Oryctolagus cuniculus: one gene and its partners. Each later gene encodes a partner of the first gene's protein in a complex. Links are inferred from orthologs where the notes say so. Each region holds a gene or a part of one and is shown in the gene's direction. Other genes may lie near its edges.

The links.
Region 2: the proteins of protein S100-A4 (region 1) and MYH9 are in contact, whole or in part, in an NMR structure (PDB 2LNK), measured with the Homo sapiens proteins. The link is inferred for Oryctolagus cuniculus from reciprocal best matches to the Homo sapiens genes S100A4 and MYH9. Residues at the interface, in NP_002952.1 of Homo sapiens: Leu38, Ser44, Phe45, Leu46, Gly47, Lys48, Arg49, Thr50, Asp51, Ala54, Phe55, Lys57, Leu58, Asn61, Leu62, Ser64, Gln73, Glu74, Cys76, Val77, Phe78, Ser80, Cys81, Ile82, Met84, Met85, Cys86, Glu88, Phe89, Phe90; in NP_002464.1 of Homo sapiens: Thr1906, Ala1909, Met1910, Glu1913, Val1914, Ser1915, Leu1917, Lys1918, Lys1920, Leu1921, Arg1922, Asp1925, Leu1926, Pro1927, Phe1928, Val1929, Val1930, Pro1931, Arg1932, Met1934, Ala1935.
Region 3: the proteins of protein S100-A4 (region 1) and ANXA2 are in contact, whole or in part, in a crystal structure (PDB 5LPU), measured with the Homo sapiens proteins. The link is inferred for Oryctolagus cuniculus from reciprocal best matches to the Homo sapiens genes S100A4 and ANXA2. Residues at the interface, in NP_002952.1 of Homo sapiens: Lys35, Leu38, Pro43, Ser44, Phe45, Leu46, Gly47, Lys48, Arg49, Thr50, Asp51, Ala54, Phe55, Lys57, Leu58, Asn61, Leu62, Gln73, Phe78, Cys81, Ile82, Met84, Met85, Glu88, Phe89, Phe93; in NP_001002857.1 of Homo sapiens: Leu13, Glu14, Pro21, Ser22, Ala23, Tyr24, Ser26, Val27, Lys28, Tyr30, Thr31, Asn32, Phe33, Glu36, Arg37, Leu40, Thr44, Gln69, Asp70, Phe73, Arg77, Arg78.

Annotation. Positions count from the first base shown.
Region 1 is NC_091438.1:44,753,589-44,760,161, forward strand, and holds protein S100-A4, read left to right. Parts: upstream 1-2,894; 5' UTR 2,895-3,021; coding exon 3,022-3,105; intron 3,106-3,286; coding exon 3,287-3,442; intron 3,443-4,701; coding exon 4,702-4,866; 3' UTR 4,867-4,997; downstream 4,998-6,573. Other genes in the region: S100A3 (protein S100-A3), read left to right, coding at 198-338, 760-927. UniProt on the Homo sapiens protein: Calcium-binding protein that plays a role in various cellular processes including motility, angiogenesis, cell differentiation, apoptosis, and autophagy.
Region 2 is NC_091442.1:113,573,447-113,579,503, reverse strand, and holds part of MYH9 (myosin-9), read left to right. Parts: coding exon 1-69; intron 70-282; coding exon 283-489; intron 490-1,220; coding exon 1,221-1,358; intron 1,359-1,686; coding exon 1,687-1,810; intron 1,811-2,700; coding exon 2,701-2,872; intron 2,873-3,958; coding exon 3,959-4,171; intron 4,172-4,467; coding exon 4,468-4,612; intron 4,613-5,943; coding exon 5,944-6,057. UniProt on the Homo sapiens protein: Cellular myosin that appears to play a role in cytokinesis, cell shape, and specialized functions such as secretion and capping. Required for cortical actin clearance prior to oocyte exocytosis. Promotes cell motility in conjunction with S100A4.
Region 3 is NC_091443.1:83,306,552-83,313,135, reverse strand, and holds the start of ANXA2 (annexin A2), read left to right. Parts: upstream 1-2,471; 5' UTR 2,472-2,764; intron 2,765-4,397; exon of another isoform or gene 4,398-4,669; intron 4,670-6,584. UniProt on the Homo sapiens protein: Calcium-regulated membrane-binding protein whose affinity for calcium is greatly enhanced by anionic phospholipids. It binds two calcium ions with high affinity. May be involved in heat-stress response.

The DNA of each region.
Region 1 (6,573 bases):
CGAGACTGAGCCTCTGTGGGTGTGGGGCGTGGGCTAAGGTAGGGCAGAGTCAGCTGCTTGTTTGGGGGACACCTCTGGGGCCTGAAGCCAGGCTAAGACGGGTCTGGGAAAAGCCCCTTGGAAAACATCAAGGGCACGGGTGGGCAGGGGGCTGGCCGGGGCCTCTGTGGGTCACACCCTCATCTGTGGCAGGGAGGATGGCCAGGCCCCTGGAGCAAGCAGTAGCTGCCATCGTGTGCACCTTCCAGGAGTACGCAGGGCGCTGCGGGGACAAATACAAGCTCTGCCAGTCGGAGCTCAAGGAGCTGCTGCAGAAGGAGCTGCCCACCTGGACCCCGGTGAGCACCTGGGCGCTGGGCCTTCCCCTTCCTGCGGGGAGACACTGCTGGGCCTCTACAGAGAGACCTGGGACAGCAAGAGGGGCCAAGGCTCGTGTGCAGTGGTGGGGGTGGGGGGCAGCAGGAACACAGTTCTCATCACACCTGCTGCCTGGCAGACCTGCGGGGAGGCTTGAGGGAGAGCCCCGGGAAGAATGCCCAGCACACAGTAGGCCCTCAGCGGCACATAGTAGGTGTTCAACATATGATCTGGGGTGGGGGAGTTGGAAGGAGTCTTGAAATGGGTGCCTTGTCAGGACAGGAAGGCTGGGGGCTGGGCTGGGCTGGGCTGGGCTGGGGCCACTCAGGAGCAGAGGGAGGGCCAGGGGGCGAGGCTGTCCTGCCTGTTTCACCCTGCCTCTCCCCCGACCTCCCTGCACAGACTGAGTTTCGGGAGTGTGACTACAACAAATTCATGAGCGTCTTGGACACCAACAAGGACTGCGAGGTGGACTTCGCGGAGTACGTGCGCTCTCTGGCCTGCCTCTGTCTCTACTGCCACGAGTACTTCAAGGACTGCCCTCCCCCAGAGCCCCCCTGCTCCCAGTAGCCTGTGCTGTAGTTGGGGGGGCGCCCCGGCAGGGCAGGATCCGCCCCAGGCTGTGCCATCTCTGCCCCCGGGTGGTCCTGGCTGTGCCTCCCACACCCCCTTCCCTTGGCCCTGTGTCCCCTGCAATGTGGAATCGTGCAGATCAGCCCTGCTGGAGGACCAGGGTGCCCAGCCAGTGAGGCAGCTCCCGCTCCCTGTCTGTGCAGTGGACGGAGGAGGCGGGGATGTGCCGTGGGCCCTGGAGGCCCGGCACGGTGCGTGCCAGCAAGACCAGGACGGGATGGGCCTTTCCGCTCCTAATAAAGAACAGGTGTCCATGTGGCGTGGTTTGGTTCTTCTGAGAGGCACGGGGCCTTGAGACACAGCCCTGTTGACAGCTTTGCTCTCCTCTGGTCTTTTCCACTGGGGAGCAAGGCTGAGGGCAGCAGCCAGAGCTCCCATGGGCCCTGGGAGCAGTTTCAGAGCCTGCAGAGATGCAATGGTTACAGTCAGCACAGGAACTCCCGTTCTGTCCGTCTGTCTCTCAGTCTTTGGAGGGGGGTGCTGTCAAGGAGGGCAAGGGGGCAGCCCGAGGTCCCAGGGGTGAGGGAGCTGCAGCTCGGGCCTCGTGACCGGATGCGCTGAGGAGGAGGGTGGGGTGGGGCGCTTGTTCCCTGCCCCGGGCTGTGGCAGCCCAGAGAGCAGCACTAATGGGATTAGGGTGTCTCAGGGGTTTGCTGCCAGCTGGGGTGGGGTCCTGTACTGGAGGCAGAAGGGGAGGGGGATAGCTTGAAGCGAGCCCCATCCCTGAAGCCACAACCCGCTGAGGCCCTTAAGCCCCCTCTGCTGCCCCTCACTCACCCCTGGACCCCCTGTGCCCCACCCTGAGGGGTCATCCCTGAACCTGACTCCCCCGTGTTGTGCCATGTCACCTCTATCTCTGCACCCCAAACTGCAATATTCATCCCTGACGCCCCCCTCAACCCCACACACCCCCTCCTGCCTACTCTGTGAGTCACAAGCCATACTGAGCCCCACACTGCACTCCCACCCCCACTCCACCAGGACCTCGCCCCTTGATGTACCTGGGCCATCTCACACCTGCCACCAGCCACCTGCCACCCCTGCCTCTCCTTTTCTCATGGCCGCTGGGACTACTTCCTCTGCAGCCCCCAGCCCCAGGCACTGCCCTCCCTCCCCGGCTCCCTGAAACTCTTGCTGGGCTGTGTGCACTGGGTGGTGCCTGCTCCATCAGCTCCCTGCTGGTGCCCACTGGGGCTGGCCCACTGCCCATGGGGGCCTGGCCGGGTCAGGATGCCCGGCAGCCGGCTGAGGCCATGGAGGGGCTGCCCGACTCACCACATCAGCCCACAGCAGGAGGGCAGTGTGCGCTCCCCCATCCCCTTGCCAGGGGCAGGGCCTGGCTGGGGTATAAATAGTCAGACCGCTGGGCTCTCCCCGCTCTTCCTCTCTCCCCAGCCCTCCTCCTCTGTGCTTCCTCTCTCGGCTTGGTGAGTTCTGTGGGCCTGACTGGCACGCGAGGGTGTCACGGGCTGAGGCTGGGTGGGGGAAGGACAGCCTGGTGGGGGCCAGATGTGCTGAATGGACCCAGATGCACAGGCTCTGGGGTGCATGGAAGAGAGAAAAGGCAAGAAGAAAAGTGTGCAGCAGCTGGGTTTGAGCGCCCCCTCCCCGCCCCAGCCCTTCTGAGAAACTGGGGCTTGTGCAGTGTGTGCCTGAGCTGGAGATGTGCACCCTGCTGCGGGGTTGCTGGGCTGCACAAGTGTGCACCCTCGGGTGCAGGAAGAAAGCAAAGGCAACCGAGGGCTTCCTCTGCTCCCGCTCTGTGAGCCCCTGCTCTGCACCCGGCAGCTCAGCCCGGCAGAGCCCTGGCCTCCCACCCAGCCCTGGCACCCCTGCCTCCGCCACCTCACCGGCCCCTCCCAATGACGGGCTGGGTGCCAGGCTGCCGGTTTTTTCCGCTGCAGGCCCCCATGCAGGCCTCTAGCTGCCGCGCCCAGCGCTGGGAGGGAGAAGAATGGGCTGGGGCGGCCGTTGTGGCTGAGCTGTGGGAGTGGACGGGTGAGGGAGGGGTGGAAGAACGCTGTTGTTGGGATGAGGCCTGCAGCCACCTCCGGAGCTTGCTGCCTGGCTCCCTGGAGCCCATGCCACGAACCCCACAAAAGTCCACGGTCCCAAGTATGCATTCCCCCCCCCCGCACCCCTCCCCACCAATAGCTGTGCCCGCCTCTCTGGGTGTCCCCGAGGGCCAGAGAAGTGTCATCAAGGGCCTCTTGAGGGATGGGAGTGCAGGCGGGCATTCGGAACACATGGCTGGGGAGCAGGGGAGGATAAGGGTGCCCGTGCCTCCCGCCCTCAGATCCTGACCGCTGCCATGGCGTGCCCCCTGGAGAAAGCCCTGGACGTGATGGTGGCCACCTTCCACAAGTACTCGGGGAAAGAGGGTGACAAGTTCAAGCTCAACAAGTCGGAGCTAAAGGAGCTGCTGACCCGGGAGCTGCCCAGCTTCTTGGGGGTGAGTGGGTCCCCTGGGAGCAAGCACCCTCCCCCATCCCCAGCCCCCAACCCCCTGCAGGGGAGGCGCAGGCTCTATGAGGCTGCAGGCTTTTTGTGGAATATCAGCTAAAGCTGGTGTTTCTGACTGTGTGGGGAAACTGGGGAGCAGGGAGCCTGCATGGGGTGCAAACACGGCCCCAGCAGAAAGAAGGCTGAGAGAGAACAGGGAGGTTAGGGGCCAGACCCTCTGTCAGGTGCTCTGTACATCTTAAGTGAAAGGGAAAAAAACAAAAACAAAAAACTCAGAGTTAAGTATTTCCCAAGGTAGTGCATGTACAAAACTGGTCTGGACTAAGACCGCCGACTGCCCATTCTTCACTCCAACAGTGAAGGGCTGGAGTTTCCATTTGGCTCATAGATGTGCAGACACAGGTATAGAGACTCAACACACCTAAGATGTCCCCCCCAACAACAGCGTCTACACCTGCATCAAGCAGTCCACCATTTACAAGAGGGTATTGCAAAAAGTTCATGGGAAGTGGCATGAAAAAGCAAGTTTATTTTGGTGCAAAATTTTGAAATCTATAGTTTTAAAAATAATACTCATTTTCATGAACCCTTTGGAGAGTCTTGGGAAGCATGGGTTTCAAACATTTTTGTACCAAAAGGAACTTATTTTTAAATTATATTTCCGGGGCTGGGCATGGTGGTACAGTAGGTTAAACTTCCGCCTGCAATGCTGGCATTCCATATGGGCCCCAGTTCAAGTCCCTGGTGCTTTGCTTCCAACCCAGCTCCCTGTTAATGTGCCGGGAAAGTGGCAGAAGTTGGCCCAGGTACTTGGTCCCTTGTCACCCACATGAAAGACCCAGATGGAGTTCCAGGCTCCTGACTGTGGCCTGTCCCAGCCTTGGCAGTTGAAGCCATCTGGGGAGTAAGCCGGCACATGGAAGAGCTCTCTCTGTCTCTCCCTCTATAACTATGCCTTTCAAATAAAAAAAAAAATTCTGTTTCCACAAACTTTCTGCAGTAGCTGGCATATGCTGTCATGATCATTACCTCACTGGATCATGAGGACAACCTCTAGGGAAGGCGTGTGGTCACTTCGTTTTGCACCTGCACCAGGTCCTCAGACGTCCCCATCCAAGGAGTACTCCCGTTGGCGCTGGTGTGGCCCTGAGGGTTGGGGTCCGAGGCTGGGCCCCCCACAGGAGAGCTGCAGGTGCCAAACTGGTCTAGCCCTGCTCTACCCCCGTGGCTTCTGCTTTCTCCCTCCAGAAAAGGACGGACGAAGCCGCGTTCCAGAAGCTGATGAGCAACTTGGACAGCAACAAGGACAACGAGGTGGACTTCCAGGAGTACTGCGTCTTCCTGTCCTGCATCGCCATGATGTGCAATGAGTTCTTCGAAGGTTTCCCTGATAAGCAGCCCCGGAAGAAGTGAAGGCTCCTCAGATGCCGCTGGGGGGCCCGCCCGCTGGGGTCTTCCCTGTCTGCAGTGGGCACAGCACCTTAGTCCCGCCCCTTGAGACATGTGCACCACGCTGAGCAACTTTAATAAAGAGTCTTAACACCTGTGAGGCTCTCAGTCTGTGACTCTGGGGGCGTGTGGGGTTGGGGGCTGAGGGATGTGTGTGTGGTGGTGGGGGGGGGTAGGGCTGGGGGTGCTGGGACTTGAGCTGCTGGGTTGCAGATCCCAGGAGTGAAGGCTGGGAGGGAGCAGGAGTGACTGAGGGTGTGTGTGTGTGTGTGTGCAGGCATGCGTGTGACCCAGAGGACAGGGGTGGGGCCCAGGCAGGGAAGGAGACCACCAGGGCTTGGAGGGCGGGGCTGTGGCACTGAGCCAGCCCACTCACCCTTTCCAGCTCCCACCAACCATGCCTCTGGCCAATCCCTGAACTGAGGTTACTACGATGGGAAGGTCACATCTGTTTCTAGTTGGGGTCTGGAGAGAAGAGAACGGAGCTGAGTCAGGCGGAGGGAGTAGCCAAGCCAGAGCAGCAGGGGGAGGGGGCTAGCGCTCAGCCCCAACATTTGCAGCCTACGCCTGTCCTGCCTCCCCTTCTAGCTCATTGGCTTCACACCACAGGGGCGGGTTCATCCTGGCCTGTCCCGGGTCGGCCCGGATCAGCGGGGGCAGGATGCAGGGGCAGCGCGCAGCCTCCAGCGCCCGGGTTGTCGCTGGGGCTCTCCGACCCGCGATCCCTGCCCCCAGGCCCCTGGAGCGGGAAACGAGGAGTGGGGGTGGGGCTGGGGCAAAGACAAAAGGCCGGACTTGAGAAGAGGGGACCCAATGCTGCCTCGGCTTAGAGTCTGGGGCTGACTGAGGCTGTACCTGAAGCGAGTGGGTGTCAGGCCCCGAGGCCCGGGGGTTTGGTCCCCCTTTCCTCTCATCCCACTGAGCTTTCCCCTCAAGTTTCAGGGGAGGGGGCGGTGACTCATATGTTTCCCCCACCCCAGTGGGACTGCAGCGACCTGGGTAGGACCTTGGCTCTCCTCCTCCCAGCCTGGCCACCGCCCGCCTCCGCGCGGTCCTCCCGGGGCAGCCTCCCTCGCGGCTCTCTCTTCGGAAACTCCTGCTGCCTAGCGACCGACCTCGCCAGCGGGAGCGCCGGGGCTTCAGCCATAGTGGGCACTCACCCTCAGAGCAACACCTGAGTGTCCCCCAGGATACGACCCCACCCCATCCATGACTGCGCCCTGAACCCAAGCCCCAGCTCCATCCCATCCTGGGGTCCCCGCGTGTCTACCTCCCCTCCTTAGTTCCTAGTTCTCAGCCGTCAGTGTCAAGACTCCAGCAAGTCCCCATGAGACAACCATTTATTTAAAGCTTTGTAAAAACCACACTGGCTGATGGATGACCTTGCCCTTGACAAGGAAATATCTTCCTCCGGGGATCCCCGCCTCCAGGTGGTCTTCTCTGCTCTTGAGGTGGGTGGGAAGGTCTCCAAGAGGAGAGTGGCCGGGGGACATGGGGCACATCCGGTGTGTGGCTCTAGGCTTCCTGTGGTTCAGTCAGACTGTGAATTCTGCTTTTTGGTTGAGAGTGGAGTGTGAGCAGGTGAACTCAGTGTGCCCCACACCCCTGTTTGTAAACAAGGAAAGGGAAATTGGCAGAGGGGTTTCTCCTGGCCCATCCCTGGAGATTCTG
Region 2 (6,057 bases), on another chromosome or scaffold:
GTGAAGGTGCGGGAGAAGCAGCTGGCGGCAGAGAACAGGCTCACGGAGATGGAGACGCTGCAGTCTCAGGTGGGTGCTGCCCCCTGCTGGCCACCGGGGGAGGCACGTTTGCTGCCCCAGGTGCCGGAGGAGCAGGGTGGTTAGTCTCTCCCGGGGTATGCGTTGGAGGCCGGCTGGTTCTTGGAGGTCTTGAGGACACGGTGTCTGGAAGGTGCCCGGGAGCCCCGGAGCCCCGGGAGGAGGGTGCAAGCGCGTGCTCTGCGCTCCGTGTGCCCGCTGCAGCTCATGGCAGAGAAGCTGCAGCTGCAGGAGCAGCTCCAGGCAGAGACGGAGCTGTGCGCCGAGGCCGAGGAGCTCCGCGCCCGCCTGACTGCCAAGAAGCAGGAGCTGGAGGAGATCTGCCACGACCTGGAGGCCCGGGTGGAGGAGGAGGAGGAGCGCTGCCAGCACCTGCAGGCCGAGAAGAAGAAGATGCAGCAGAACATCCAGGTAGCCGGGCCCCGCCGACTCGGGACGGGAGTCCCCGCCGGGCCCCGCCCACTCGGGACGGGAGTCCCCGCCGGGCCCCGCCGACTCGGGACGGGAGTCCCCGCCGGACCCCGCCCACTCGGGACGGGAGTCCCCGCCGGACCCTGACCCGGGACAGGAGTCCCCGCCGGGCCCCGCCCACTCGGGACGGGAGTCCCCGCCGGGCCCCGCCCACTCGGGACGGGAGTCCCTGCCGGGCCCTGACTCAACGTGGGGACAGGAGTCGGGCTTCTTGCCAGGCCCCACCGACTTAAGGCAGGAGTCCCCGCCAGGCCCTGACTCGGGACGGGAGTCGGGCTCCCCGCCAGGCCCCACCAACTCAGGACAGGAGTCCGGGTCTGCGTGCCCGCGCTGCCCATGGGCACAGCTGACGGGCCTCCCCCAGGGGCTGGCTGTTCCATCCGGGCCTCTCAGCTCTCCCTGCGCTCTGCCCTCCCCGGCATGGCAAAGGCCGTTCTGCCTCCCTGCAGCCCTTGCTCTGGGACCTGGGAGTGGAGGGCCGGCAGCCCTGTCCTCCACGCTCTGCCCAGTGGGAAGCTGGCTAAAGGGGACCCCCAGAGCAGTACTGCGGGCGTCTTGCCTGGCACCCCAGCTTCAGATGCGTGACCCCTCCTGCAGGGCTGGGCTGCATCCCGGCCAAGCTGCCGGGCTCGCAGAGCCACCGTTCCCACCCTCTCTCCGGCTCCCGGCAGGAACTGGAGGAGCAGCTGGAGGAGGAGGAGAGCGCCCGGCAGAAGCTGCAGCTGGAGAAGGTGACCACGGAGGCCAAGCTGAAGAAGCTGGAGGAGGAGCAGATCATCATGGAGGACCAGAACTGCAAGCTGGCCAAGGTGGGCCAGGCGCGCGTGGCTGCCCGGGCGGCCCCCTCCCGGAGCCACACGGGGGGTTCCCCCGAATGAGCGGCCCCAGGGAGCTTCGCCGTTGCCCCGCAGTCGAGCTCTTCGCTGGCTTTTGAGACGAGTCAGGCCCTCCGTGTGGCACTGTGCATCTGTCCCCTGCGGAGCCGGGGCGCCTTGGTGGCTTCGTGCGGCAGGTCCCGTGCTCCTGCAGCCAGGCCTCGCCTGTGCCTGCTCCTGCGCTCCTGGGCCGGCTGCGCTCTGAGGAGGGCTGCGGCGTCCTGTGCGCTCCCGCTCAGCCTGGCCCGCCCCCGCCCCTCAGGAGAAGAAGCTGCTGGAAGACAGGATAGCCGAGTTCACCACCAACCTCATGGAGGAGGAGGAGAAGTCCAAGAGCCTGGCCAAGCTCAAGAACAAGCACGAGGCGATGATCACAGACCTGGAAGGTGAGGGCGTGGCCTGGGCCGCCTGCCGGGGGCCCTGGCTCCCGTGACCCAGCGCTCGGCTGCTGCCGTGAGGCGCGAGATGGCCAGGGCACGCGGCAGCACCTGGTTGCTCTGGCTGGTTCCCAGGAATCGTGGTTCAGAGCAGACCCTTGTGTCGCCCGCTGTGCCGCACTCGAGCTGCTGGGGAGACCGCAGGAGATGGTGGTTGGATGTGGGCCAGGCTCGCCGGCCCTGCCTCGTTTCCTGTGTTCTGGGGACTGTGGCGGTCAGGAGGCCTCGGTAGAAGGCCTATGGCTGGCTGAGACCCCCAGCCCCTTGAGAGGCGTGGACAGCTCGGGGAGGGAGAGAGCCTGACACAGCTGGAGGAGCCCCGCGCCCGGCTGGTGAACGTGGGGTGGATATGGGCTGCCGGCCGGCGGCGTCCTCCCCAGCCTAGTGTCCCAGCCCTGCCAACCCCTCGTGTGTGTGTGTGTGTGACGGGGAGGAGTCTGCAGGACTTGGCCTTCCAAGGCGTCCCGGAGGGCAGGACCACCAGGTTGACAGACGTTTGACACCAGCAAGTGTTAAGGAAGCTGTAGATGAGTCAGAAACACACCCCCCCCCCCCACCTGCTGCGTGCCCCTGACCCAGCAGTGCCATCCGGCGCTCGGCCTTGTGCACTGAGAGTCACACACCTGTCCCCGTGGGCTGGAGAAGGAAGCTATGGTGTGCCCGCAGGGCAGAGCAGACAGGCCCGGCAGGCACCGGACCGCACGTGGCAGCGCTCTTGTCCCGCATCCAGGGGTCAGGTGTGACTGGCTGTGTGTCGCGAAGGCCTCTGGCCCTGGCTGTGTAAGTCGTTGAACACAGAAGAGCTGCAGCCGCTGAGGTCCCCCCACCCCCACCCCCAGAGCGCCTCCGCAGGGAGGAGAAGCAGCGGCAGGAGCTGGAGAAGACGCGCCGGAAGCTGGAGGGAGACTCCACCGACCTCAGCGACCAGATCGCCGAGCTGCAGGCGCAGATCGCCGAGCTCAAGATGCAGCTGGCCAAGAAGGAGGAGGAGCTGCAGGCCGCGCTGGCCAGGTGAGGCCCGGGCTCCCACGTGGCCGCCGGCCAGAGCACGCCCTGCCCAGGCTCGCCGCGCCAGCGAGCGCGAGCGTCCCCTCCGCTGCGGCTGCAGAAGTTCTCAGGCACCAGCGGCACAGGCTGGGGTGCTGGGGTGCTGGGGTGCTGGGCGGCTTTCTCCTTGGTAATCCAGAACCACCCACAGCTCTGTCTCCCGCCCACAATACTTTCTTTTTAAAAAAATTCTTGGCTATAGGCACACATTTGTTTAAAAAAGCAGACTTGATTTTTCTAGTTTTAGATTCATTGCAAGATTGAGCAGAACATACAGACTTCCCATCTAAACCCTGCCCGCCTCCCCCACGCACGGCCTCTGCCGATGTCAACACTCGGTGAACCTTCAGTGAGACAAAACCATGCAAAGCCCACAGCTCATTGCCTGCCACTTAGTTGCCGTCTGATGGACTGTAGCTTTTTAGAGTATTTCCTTTTTCGTGTAACATTTTAAAGTTAATTTTTTTGAAAATTTATTTACTTGAAAGCCAGCGTTAAACAGAGAAAGAGAGAGAGAGAGAGACAGGCAGACATAGAAGGAGAGGCAGAGAGAAAGGTCTTCCATCTGCTGGTTCACTCCCTAATGGCCACAACGGCCGAGGTGGGCCAGGCAGAGCCAAGCACCAGGAGCTGCTTCCTGGTCTCCCACACGGGTACACAGGCCCAGGCACCTGGGTCATCTTCCTCTGCTCCCTCGGGAACATTAGCAGGGAGTAATGGGTCAGGATTGGAGCAGCCAGGACTCTAACCAGCACCCCTGTGGGGTACTGGTGCTGCAGGCCATGGCTTTAGCCTGCTGCACCACAGGACAGTGCTGGCCCCATTGTGTGTGTGTGTGTGTGTGTGTGTGTGTGTGTCATTTGGAAGGTGAAGGGGTTTCTCTGAGGTGTTCCGGGTCTGGGATACCTCATGTTTCTGCTGAGAGCCACTGAACTGCCATGATGTACCTGCATAGACAGCGCTGGCTGCCCCGCTGCCCCTCTAAGGCCTCTCCTGCGGGCGGAGCCCTGCAGGGGACACGGCCTCAGGCTGACAGCGTCTCTCTGGCAGAGTGGAAGAAGAGGCTGCCCAGAAGAACATGGCCCTCAAGAAGATCCGGGAGCTGGAATCTCAGATCTCCGAGCTCCAGGAGGACCTGGAGTCCGAGCGCGCCTCCAGGAACAAGGCCGAGAAGCAGAAGCGGGACCTCGGGGAGGAGCTGGAGGCGCTGAAGACAGAGTTGGAGGACACCCTGGACTCCACTGCTGCGCAGCAGGAGCTCAGGTGTGGCCTGGGGCCGCCTGGCCTGGCCACGAGGGCGGGGGGCCCGGAGCAGTGCTGCACACGGCTCACCACGTCCAGAGAGCGCGGAGCCGGGCCTTCCTCGGCCGTTGCCCTCTGCCTAGCAGATCTGCGGGGAGCGTGGCTTTGGAGGGCGCAGCGAGGGTGGGCTCTGAGCCTGTACAAGGGCCTGTAGTAGCCGAGCAGGGGGCCGGTGGGGAGAGAAGCTGCAGACGGGGGCTGTGCCGGGAAGGGCTGCCGGGTCTCGGCCTCCGCTCTGAGGGGTTTTCCCCGTCCAGGTCCAAACGCGAGCAGGAAGTGAACATTCTGAAGAAGACCCTCGAGGACGAGGCGCGGACCCACGAGGCCCAGATCCAGGAGATGCGGCAGAAGCACTCGCAGGCCGTGGAGGAGCTGGCGGAGCAGCTGGAGCAGACCAAGCGGGTGCGGGGCCTCCCCAGCCCCTGCGGGCGCAGCCGGGCTGCTTTCAGGGGAGGGGCCTCCTGGTGACCCTGCACTCTGCGCTCTGCCGTGCCGCGGCCAGTCCCGCAGAGCAGTGCCGGCATCAGACTGCTCAGCCCCAGACAGCGCCTGTGTTCCTTGGGGCAAAAGTACCCCGTGCCTCAGTTTCCCTGTCTGTGCAGGGGGACGATGGGTTTGTCTCATGATTACAGGACTTAGAGTCGTTAATCTGTGTGAAGCACTTGGGCAATGAGGGCATAAGGTGTCCGTATGTTGGGGTTGTCATTAACAACCCGTCAGAGCAGGTAGCGTGGAGGAACCGGTGGGTGTCAGAGGGCTTTGGTGGTCCGGCTTCCACCTGCAGAGTCCCCTCTGGAACACCCCCAGCAAGTAGTCAGCTGGGGTCTCCCTGGAAAACCCCAGGGCCGTGTACCCAGCTGGTCCCCAAGTCCTGCCTCCTGTGCCTTGCAGAGCTCCATGTCTGGTGGTGGCAGCTGGGGAAGTTCAAGGCTCTTCCACGTGGGGCCTAAATATATTCTGTCTCCCTTCAACTCCTGCCCAGGGCCCAGTTTACCCTTGACCTCGGCTGATCTTCCCACAGCCCCGTGGTCTACTTGGTGCAGAGTAGAGTGCGATTATTGTATTTGCTTTGTGAACTCTACTTTGTTTCTAGATATTGAAATTTTTATTTCTTCACTTGGGAGGGAGAGAGCACTCCAGCTGTTGGTTCAGTCCCCAAACATGTACACTGGCCCCGGCTGGGGATGAAGCTGGGTAGCGGGAGCACCATCCAGGTCCCCGCGTGGGTGGCAGGGATCAACTCTGGGGCCGTCACTGCTGCCTTTCGGGGCTTGCAGGAAGCCAGAGCTGGGAGCTGAACCCAGGGACTGCTGGGGAGGACGTGGGTGCCTTACCCTGTAGGCCAAATGTCTGCCCCACTTCTGTGACTTAGAGAATGCCATGTTACTGTTTGAACAGCAGGTTTCTGAGGGGCTCTGTTGGAAGTCAGGTGCCCTCGCTGTGTTGCAAATACTGCTAGGGTCGTGACAGCCACAGTAACACCCAGTCTAGCACCTTCCCTCTCCCCAGCCAGCAGGGCTTGGGGGGGAGTATTGTGAAGGTAGGGATGCTGGGCGGAGCGAGGATACACAGCCCTTATCACCGCCAGTGGAGAGCAGAGGACAGGTGGGGCCGGCTGGAGCCCACGGAGTCCAGGGCTGGACCCAGCGTGGGTGGCTCTTCCAGTGGCGTCAGACAAACCAGCCACGCAGCGTCCCTGTTAACATCCTCGCCCCCCGCCCCTCCTCGCCCAGGTGAAAGCCAACCTGGAGAAGGCCAAGCAGACCCTGGAGCACGAGCGAGGGGAGCTGGCCAACGAGGTCAAGGCCCTGCAGCAGGGCAAGGGGGACTCCGAGCACAAGCGCAAG
Region 3 (6,584 bases), on another chromosome or scaffold:
GAAACGACTGTCACCTTGGACAGAGAAACAGTTCAAACTTTAAAGAAGCTTCTAGACAACTTTGGGTTTCTACCGGCATGCCGTAGACTGAGATTGTACTGAGTTACAAATATGAACTACTGTTTAGGAAAAGGAAAGGCGTCTCAGAGGGTGGAGCCCAGAGCCCAGACGACAAAGCCAGAAACTGAGCAGACCAAGGGATTAAAGCAAGGATCAGCAAACTACAGCTCATAGGCAAAATCCCCCAGCACCTGTCTTTGCACAGCTGTCACGCCCCCAGCACTGGCGGTTTCAGCTGTTGCTTCTGGAGAGCCAGTTGCCGTTACTATCTTGGTACAGAGTGAGGAGGACCAGGAGGAATGAGACAGGCTCAGCCTATTCTCCATCATTCTAGCAACTCCAGCCAACACACCAGACAAATAAGTAAAGCCACCAGCCATCTTCCAACTCCAACTGAACTACTCAACCCCACCCAACATCACGTAGAGCCGAGCTCAGCTGTTTCCACTGAGTCGTGCCCGAGTTGCAGAATGATAAGCAAATAAATGGTTGTGCATGTTTTGGGAAGTAATTTGTTACATTGCAATATGGAACAGATACAGGGACCTTGGATGCACCGTTGAATCCCTGGATTCGGTCGGAGACAACGTGGGTTTTCATTTCCTCATAAGTCAACATGAAGGATAGGAGAAGTTCATCTCTAAGGCCCCTCCTTGCTCTATATTATTCTGTGCGTAACTCTGCTGTATCACTTGTGGGAGCCTAGCATTGCTAGCTAGGCATTCTCAGAGGTGTTGAGGTGCAGCAGACAAAGTGTGAACAGAACAATGGCAGGCATTGAGAGGACAATGCGCACAACAGCTGACATAATCTGAGCTCTGTTATAGCAAACATCCCCCCAAGCCATGCTGGGGAGCAGAAAGGAAGAAGAGAATCTTTGGGTTAAGAATCAAAAGTTCTTTTACTGGCAGAACTGGCCTCACATTCCTCCGAAATAAGCAACCATGACTTAACAGCTTTGTTTTCTAAGATACCATCACGGCGAATTTCTGTCAAGCACCAAGCAAAGCCTTGCTATTGTACTGATCTGTACTGCACCTGGTTCGCATTAGCTCTTCCCCCTCTGCAGATGCCCACAGCGGCAAGGCAGCACAGTGAGGAGCTGGCATGGAACCTGCCGGAGGAGAGGAGGGAGGGAGGCCACCTCCTGCCCGCCATTATCACTGCCTGCCTGTGTTCCTCCAGTTCTCACCCAGGAAACCAACCCATGTGGTTTCTGCCTTTACAGCTCGCATTCTGAATTGAAAGGCTGTGAATGCACATTAGAAATTGTATTAGAAGGGTTGCTTTCGGGGCAGGCATTGGGACTCAGCAGGTTAAGCCTCCATTTGGGACACCTGTAGCCCATAGTGGAGCATGTGGGTTTAACTCCTTCCAATCCAGCTTCTTCATAATGCACCTGGAGGCAGCAGAGAATGGCTCATGTACTTGGGTTCCTGGCACCCATGGGGGAGACCCGGATGGAGTTCCTGACTCCTAGCTTCTGCCTCGCCCAGCCTTCTGACAGTGCCTGTCATGCCTAATTAATTCCTAGAGAAAAGAGCCCAGGCTGGGTGCTAGGAAACCTTCCTAGGCTGGATTTTGCAGCTACCCATTTGTGTGACCCTGAGCACAGCACTCAGTGTCTGGTTGCCTTGGCTGTCGCTCCGACTCCCAGGAGCAGCCAGACTGGGCAAAAACACTGCCTAGGCTGAGTGTGCAAGGAGGGAGGGAGTTCAAAGTCTGTGGGGTTTTTAGCCAAGCTCTCAGTCTGAGAGCTGCATGCATCGCTGGCTCAGTCACACGTGCTCGGCCACAAGTTGCAAGTGGCACTCGTGGAAGTAGTGCCGGGGAAGAAAAGCGAGAAACAGCAAAACCGAGCGAGGGAGTTGGCTCAATGGCTTCGGGGCAAGTGAAAGCAACTGGCGGTCACAAAAGGAAGAACGGATCAAAGTTCTCCGTTGCAACTCGGGGTTCAAAGCCAGGCGCCCCACCCAGCTCGGGCCTGCCTGTCACAAGGCTGCGCAGAGTGGTGGGTCCCAGAGGCTGACGCACGCAGAGCTCAGCAGTCCCCGGGGAAGAGGGCGCCTCCCGGTGCAGAGGTGGGGTGAGGGATCCCTGCTCGGGGCACTCTCCGAGGCCGGGGCGCATGGCCTGCGCGTTCTCCTTCCGGGAACAGGCGTCCAGAGGTTAAGCTAATATGTTTGCAGATGGTAATGGGTTGCTGGATGCCAAACGTCCCAGAGCAGGAGAATCCAGATTTATGTTTCTTGGATCAATTCTTTCTTCCAGGGCTTTGGCGCCTAAAGAAAAAAAAAAAGAAAAGAAAAGAAAAAGAAAGAAAAAAGAAAATAAAGTGATTTCTCCTAAAGTGTGGCCCATTTAGGAACCGAAGCCCAGGCTAGGAACTCGACGTGGCACTCCAGTCCGGAAGGGAGGAAAAGAGACGGCCTAACCCGGACCTCGGGGAAGTCTCGGCGGGGCTTCCACCCTGGGCAGGGCCGTGGGCGTCGGGCCGCTCCCGCGCGGCGAGGCTCGCAGCCGTTCCAGGGCGTGGCTACCCGCTCGGGCCAGCGGCCCGGCGAGCGTGAGTCACCCCGAGTCGGGGTGGGGGCGGGCAGGGCGGGCCTGGCCGAGAGGATGTGGCGGGTATAAAAGCCCCACCCAAGGCAGCCAGCTCCGCTCGGCAACTGGAGACGCTCGCAACTCTCGGCGCCCGGCCCAGGTAAGCGGGACGCGCCACACCCGCCGCCCGCCCGCTATGGCCCGGGGCCGCAGCACTAGCGGGGCCTGCGGAGGCTGGCAAGGGGGAAAGGGGCTTGCAGAGAGGGGCTCGAGCGGCCGGGCCGGGAGCCGGGGGAGACCGGGGCGCACTTGGGCTGCTGCGGGCGGGGGGCGCAAGGCCAGGTGTCCGGGGCGGGATGAGTGGGGCCGTTCGTGTCCAGGCCTGGGAGCGCGGAGCATGAGGACCGGACTGTGCATTCCCATGGAGGCTTCGCGGGTAGCGGGCGAGCCTGCTCACGCAGGGGAGCACTGGGGGCCCCGCATTCCAGACGTGCCGGGCCCGGGAGGGGGACAGGGCGTGGCCGCCGAGCGCTGCGGACTGCTAGGGGCCGTGCGCTCCGCGTGGAGCTGGAGTTCCACCGCTCTCCAGAATGCCGCCCATGTGTGCTTAAAGTCCCTTTACGCGATCTGGACGCGCGTTTGTGGAGCTTGAGCCGACCCCTGAGAGGGGAGGCTGGGGTGGGGGTGGGGTGGGAGTTTTGAGTAGCCAGCCGTGCACCCAATAAAACAAAACAGAAACCTCAGTTCTTTGCTCTTTCGTAGAGATTATCTTGGAGGATAGCAGTTTCAGATTGTGCTCAATCTGGGGGCTTTTCCGTTTGGTTGAGCACGTTTGCATGGGGAAGGAAGTGTCCCCGGAGTTCTTGTGGGGAGGGCTGGCCTGACTGTTACTTGCGGTGATGCGGCAGTGAGTCAGGGACCTGGAGTGCCCAGAAGGGCGTGGCCCAGCCGCTCCCTGCAGCTCGGAGCTGGCTGCTGGGCAGGGCCTGGGTTCCATGGACTGGCCCTGGAGAAACAGGAGTGGACCCTCAGGTTTCTTACCTATGCAAGTGGTTTAAGGACCCCCATTATACTCCCTCTGCCCGAAGGAGGACTATGTATTGAAGATTTCAAAAAACATGTTCATTCAAAATTAAATCTTTAAAGTGCACTGCAAATGCACGGCGCCAGACAAGGGTGAAGTATCATTTTTGTGGTGAGATTTGTCATTTTAAAGCTGTGGGTGATTGGAGTCTGGGGGTGAAACAGCAGTGGCCTGATGGGTACACGTTGGGCCTTTACCTGGGTCTGAGAAGCCTTCTGGCCACACCTTGGTGATTTGGAATGCAGAATGCATTTTCCCAGGGAAACGATGTTACTGAAAATGCTTAGGCTCCCAGGCTAGCCCGAAAGAACCCGCTTACCATGCTCTGTGTGCAGGCACTGCCTAATTGGGGGTGAGGGGCCGACAGGTGGGTAGGAAGAATAAATCACTGAATTTTTTCTGGAACTTTCTTTGAAGTTGGCCCTGATTAAATTCTTTTTCATGCTTCTGCCTCCTCTCTGCTTTCTTTTCAATGCCTCTCTTTTGCCTCCTTAGAGACCACCTTCCCTGATGTGAGACAGCAGCCCAGGGGCCTTGTCCAGGTCTGCTGTATTCCCTCTTCCTCCCTCCAGTGTGACGCCAACCCCAGCTAGAAGCCAGCAAATGCAATAAATGATCATTAGGTCGGAGGTCCTAAAACCCCCAGCAATCCAGAGAGCACTGTTAGTGAAGAAACAGCACTGAGAAACCCTCCTTAGCCCACACCCACCTGCACTTTGTAGAATTTGAGGTAATGGAATCCAGGAGAAGTAATGTTCAGGCCAGGTGAAGGAAGATTTCAGATGAGACCAGGACTAGTGTATCCTGTAACAGCTTTCTACCAACTTCTAAATCTCTTGTCCAGAAGTTTCAGGGCTGGATGGCCCAGCACGTCTGCAGTGGAGGGGAGCAGGCCCTGACCGCCTGTGTGCAGTATTTCAATAGGAAGCTTATGGCTGTGTCGCCTGCCTTCCTCAAATGACCAGGAAATATTGCTGACTCACTGACCTTGATTAAGAGCTCAGTCTTGGACTGGAGTCTCCAGTATTTAACATCCCGGGTCTTGGAGCTATTAAAGGACTGTATCTATTGACATTGGACTGCAGTCATGGCCGTTAGTTTCCTGGCTAATGTCAGATTTAAGTAGCTTTTCTGGCAAAGTAGATACTCTTCTGTAATTGTTATCGATTTGGAGGCCTGGAGGCTTTTCCTGCACCTGTGAGCCTAGGACCTGGCACTAATGCATTGTGGTGAGTCTTGGTTGTCACTCTGTGTGGGGCTTGGGCCATTTATCATGGAGAAAGGATGGGCGTGCCATGGGCTGCCTCAGACATTCCTTCATTCCACAGACTATCAAGCACCTACTATGTTCCACCCACAGTTGTAGCCACTGGAGAAACAACAGTAAGCGAAACACACACACACACACATACACACACACACACATCCCTGCTCTGTAGACCTTAAATCTAGCTGTGAATTGTGTGACAGCCATCATATTTTAAGTTTCACGTTTCACCAATGTTAGTTTCCAAATTTGACCAGGGCTCATTTTCCCTTTGATACAAACTGAGCCACAGACCTAAGCATCATCCATAACCCACCTTGGCAAGTGTTGTTTAAGGCTGTGCTGACTTCCTGATTTGAATGTGAGAATTAAAGAGAAATTGGGTGTTCCTCTGTGTGTGCGTGTGGGAATCAGCTTCCTCCTTTCCCTGGTGCCACGCCCTATTGTAGTGCTAGGCCACACCAGAGGAAATTCTAGGCCACAAAACAAACAAACAAACAAACAAACAAAAACAACCAAAAAACCCACCCTCTTTCCACTCATTCACTGCCTGGTGAATTTTTCCATCTCCTGTTGCCAGAGTCCTGCTCTACTTTGTTGAGGGGCTAGGTTAGTAGTAGAGGTCAAGAGAGATGCCCAGGAGATGACATACAAGTCTAAGCCACCTGGGCTCAACAGTGTTGAAGCACAAACCAGTAGCGCCGTAGTGGTCTGAGTTCTAATCCCTGGCTTGGTGTGAACCCTCTGCCTGTGTCCTTTGTCTCCTTGCCACGCCCAGGCTACATGCTCAGAGGAAGTCCGTCCTGTCTGCTCACTGCTTCCGTGCTTGCTCCACGCCCGAAGGCCGTGTGGACAGGCCTCAGGCTCTAGTAGCCCAGACAGAGCAGAAGCGGGGGCTGGGGACCGGGCTACAGTAGATCGTGATGAGAAAGGGGCTGCCCCCACGGGGACCTGCCAGGCAGAGGCTCCTGTGCCTACTGCCTGGACCTGGAACTGCATTTGCAATGTTTGGTCTAGGAGAGAAAGAAAATGGAGGAAGGAGGGTGTGTTGGAAAGGCAGGGGAAGAAAGACCAGCTACAGTGGAAAGCCCGGATGTGTGTGCAATCTCCCAGGATGTGATTGCATGCTTGCTGTGTGCCACGCGGTGAGCTCACACCTGTGAGGAAACAGCAATAAGTCAGAAACCCTGGGGGCAGGTGGTGCCACCTCCACATACACAGCTCTGCTGAGAGCCTCAGGCCGAGGGGGGAGGGTAAGGTTCAGCTGATCAGGGGAGCTTGGAGCTTGGAGGGGCAGCATGTTGAGGGAAGCGTCGCTGGCCTCATCCGACAGTGGACCAAGATGTGTGTCTGTGTGCACAGAGGTAGGGAGCTCCAGAAAGTGCATGGACACATGGAATGAAAAGATAAGCTCATTTTGTTTGGTGCAAAACAATTTTGCAACCTACAGTACGCATATTCCAGGGACTTTTTGAAGACCCCCTCCTCCCCCCCCCCCCAATACAGAAGAAAAGGCCTGTAGGTGTAGAGTCTGCAAGATCTTGAATGCTGAGTTTAGGCCTTTTTTTTTTTTTTTTTTTTCTCCCTCTGTAGGCGCCTGGGCCCTGTGGAAAGCACATTATGTGGGCC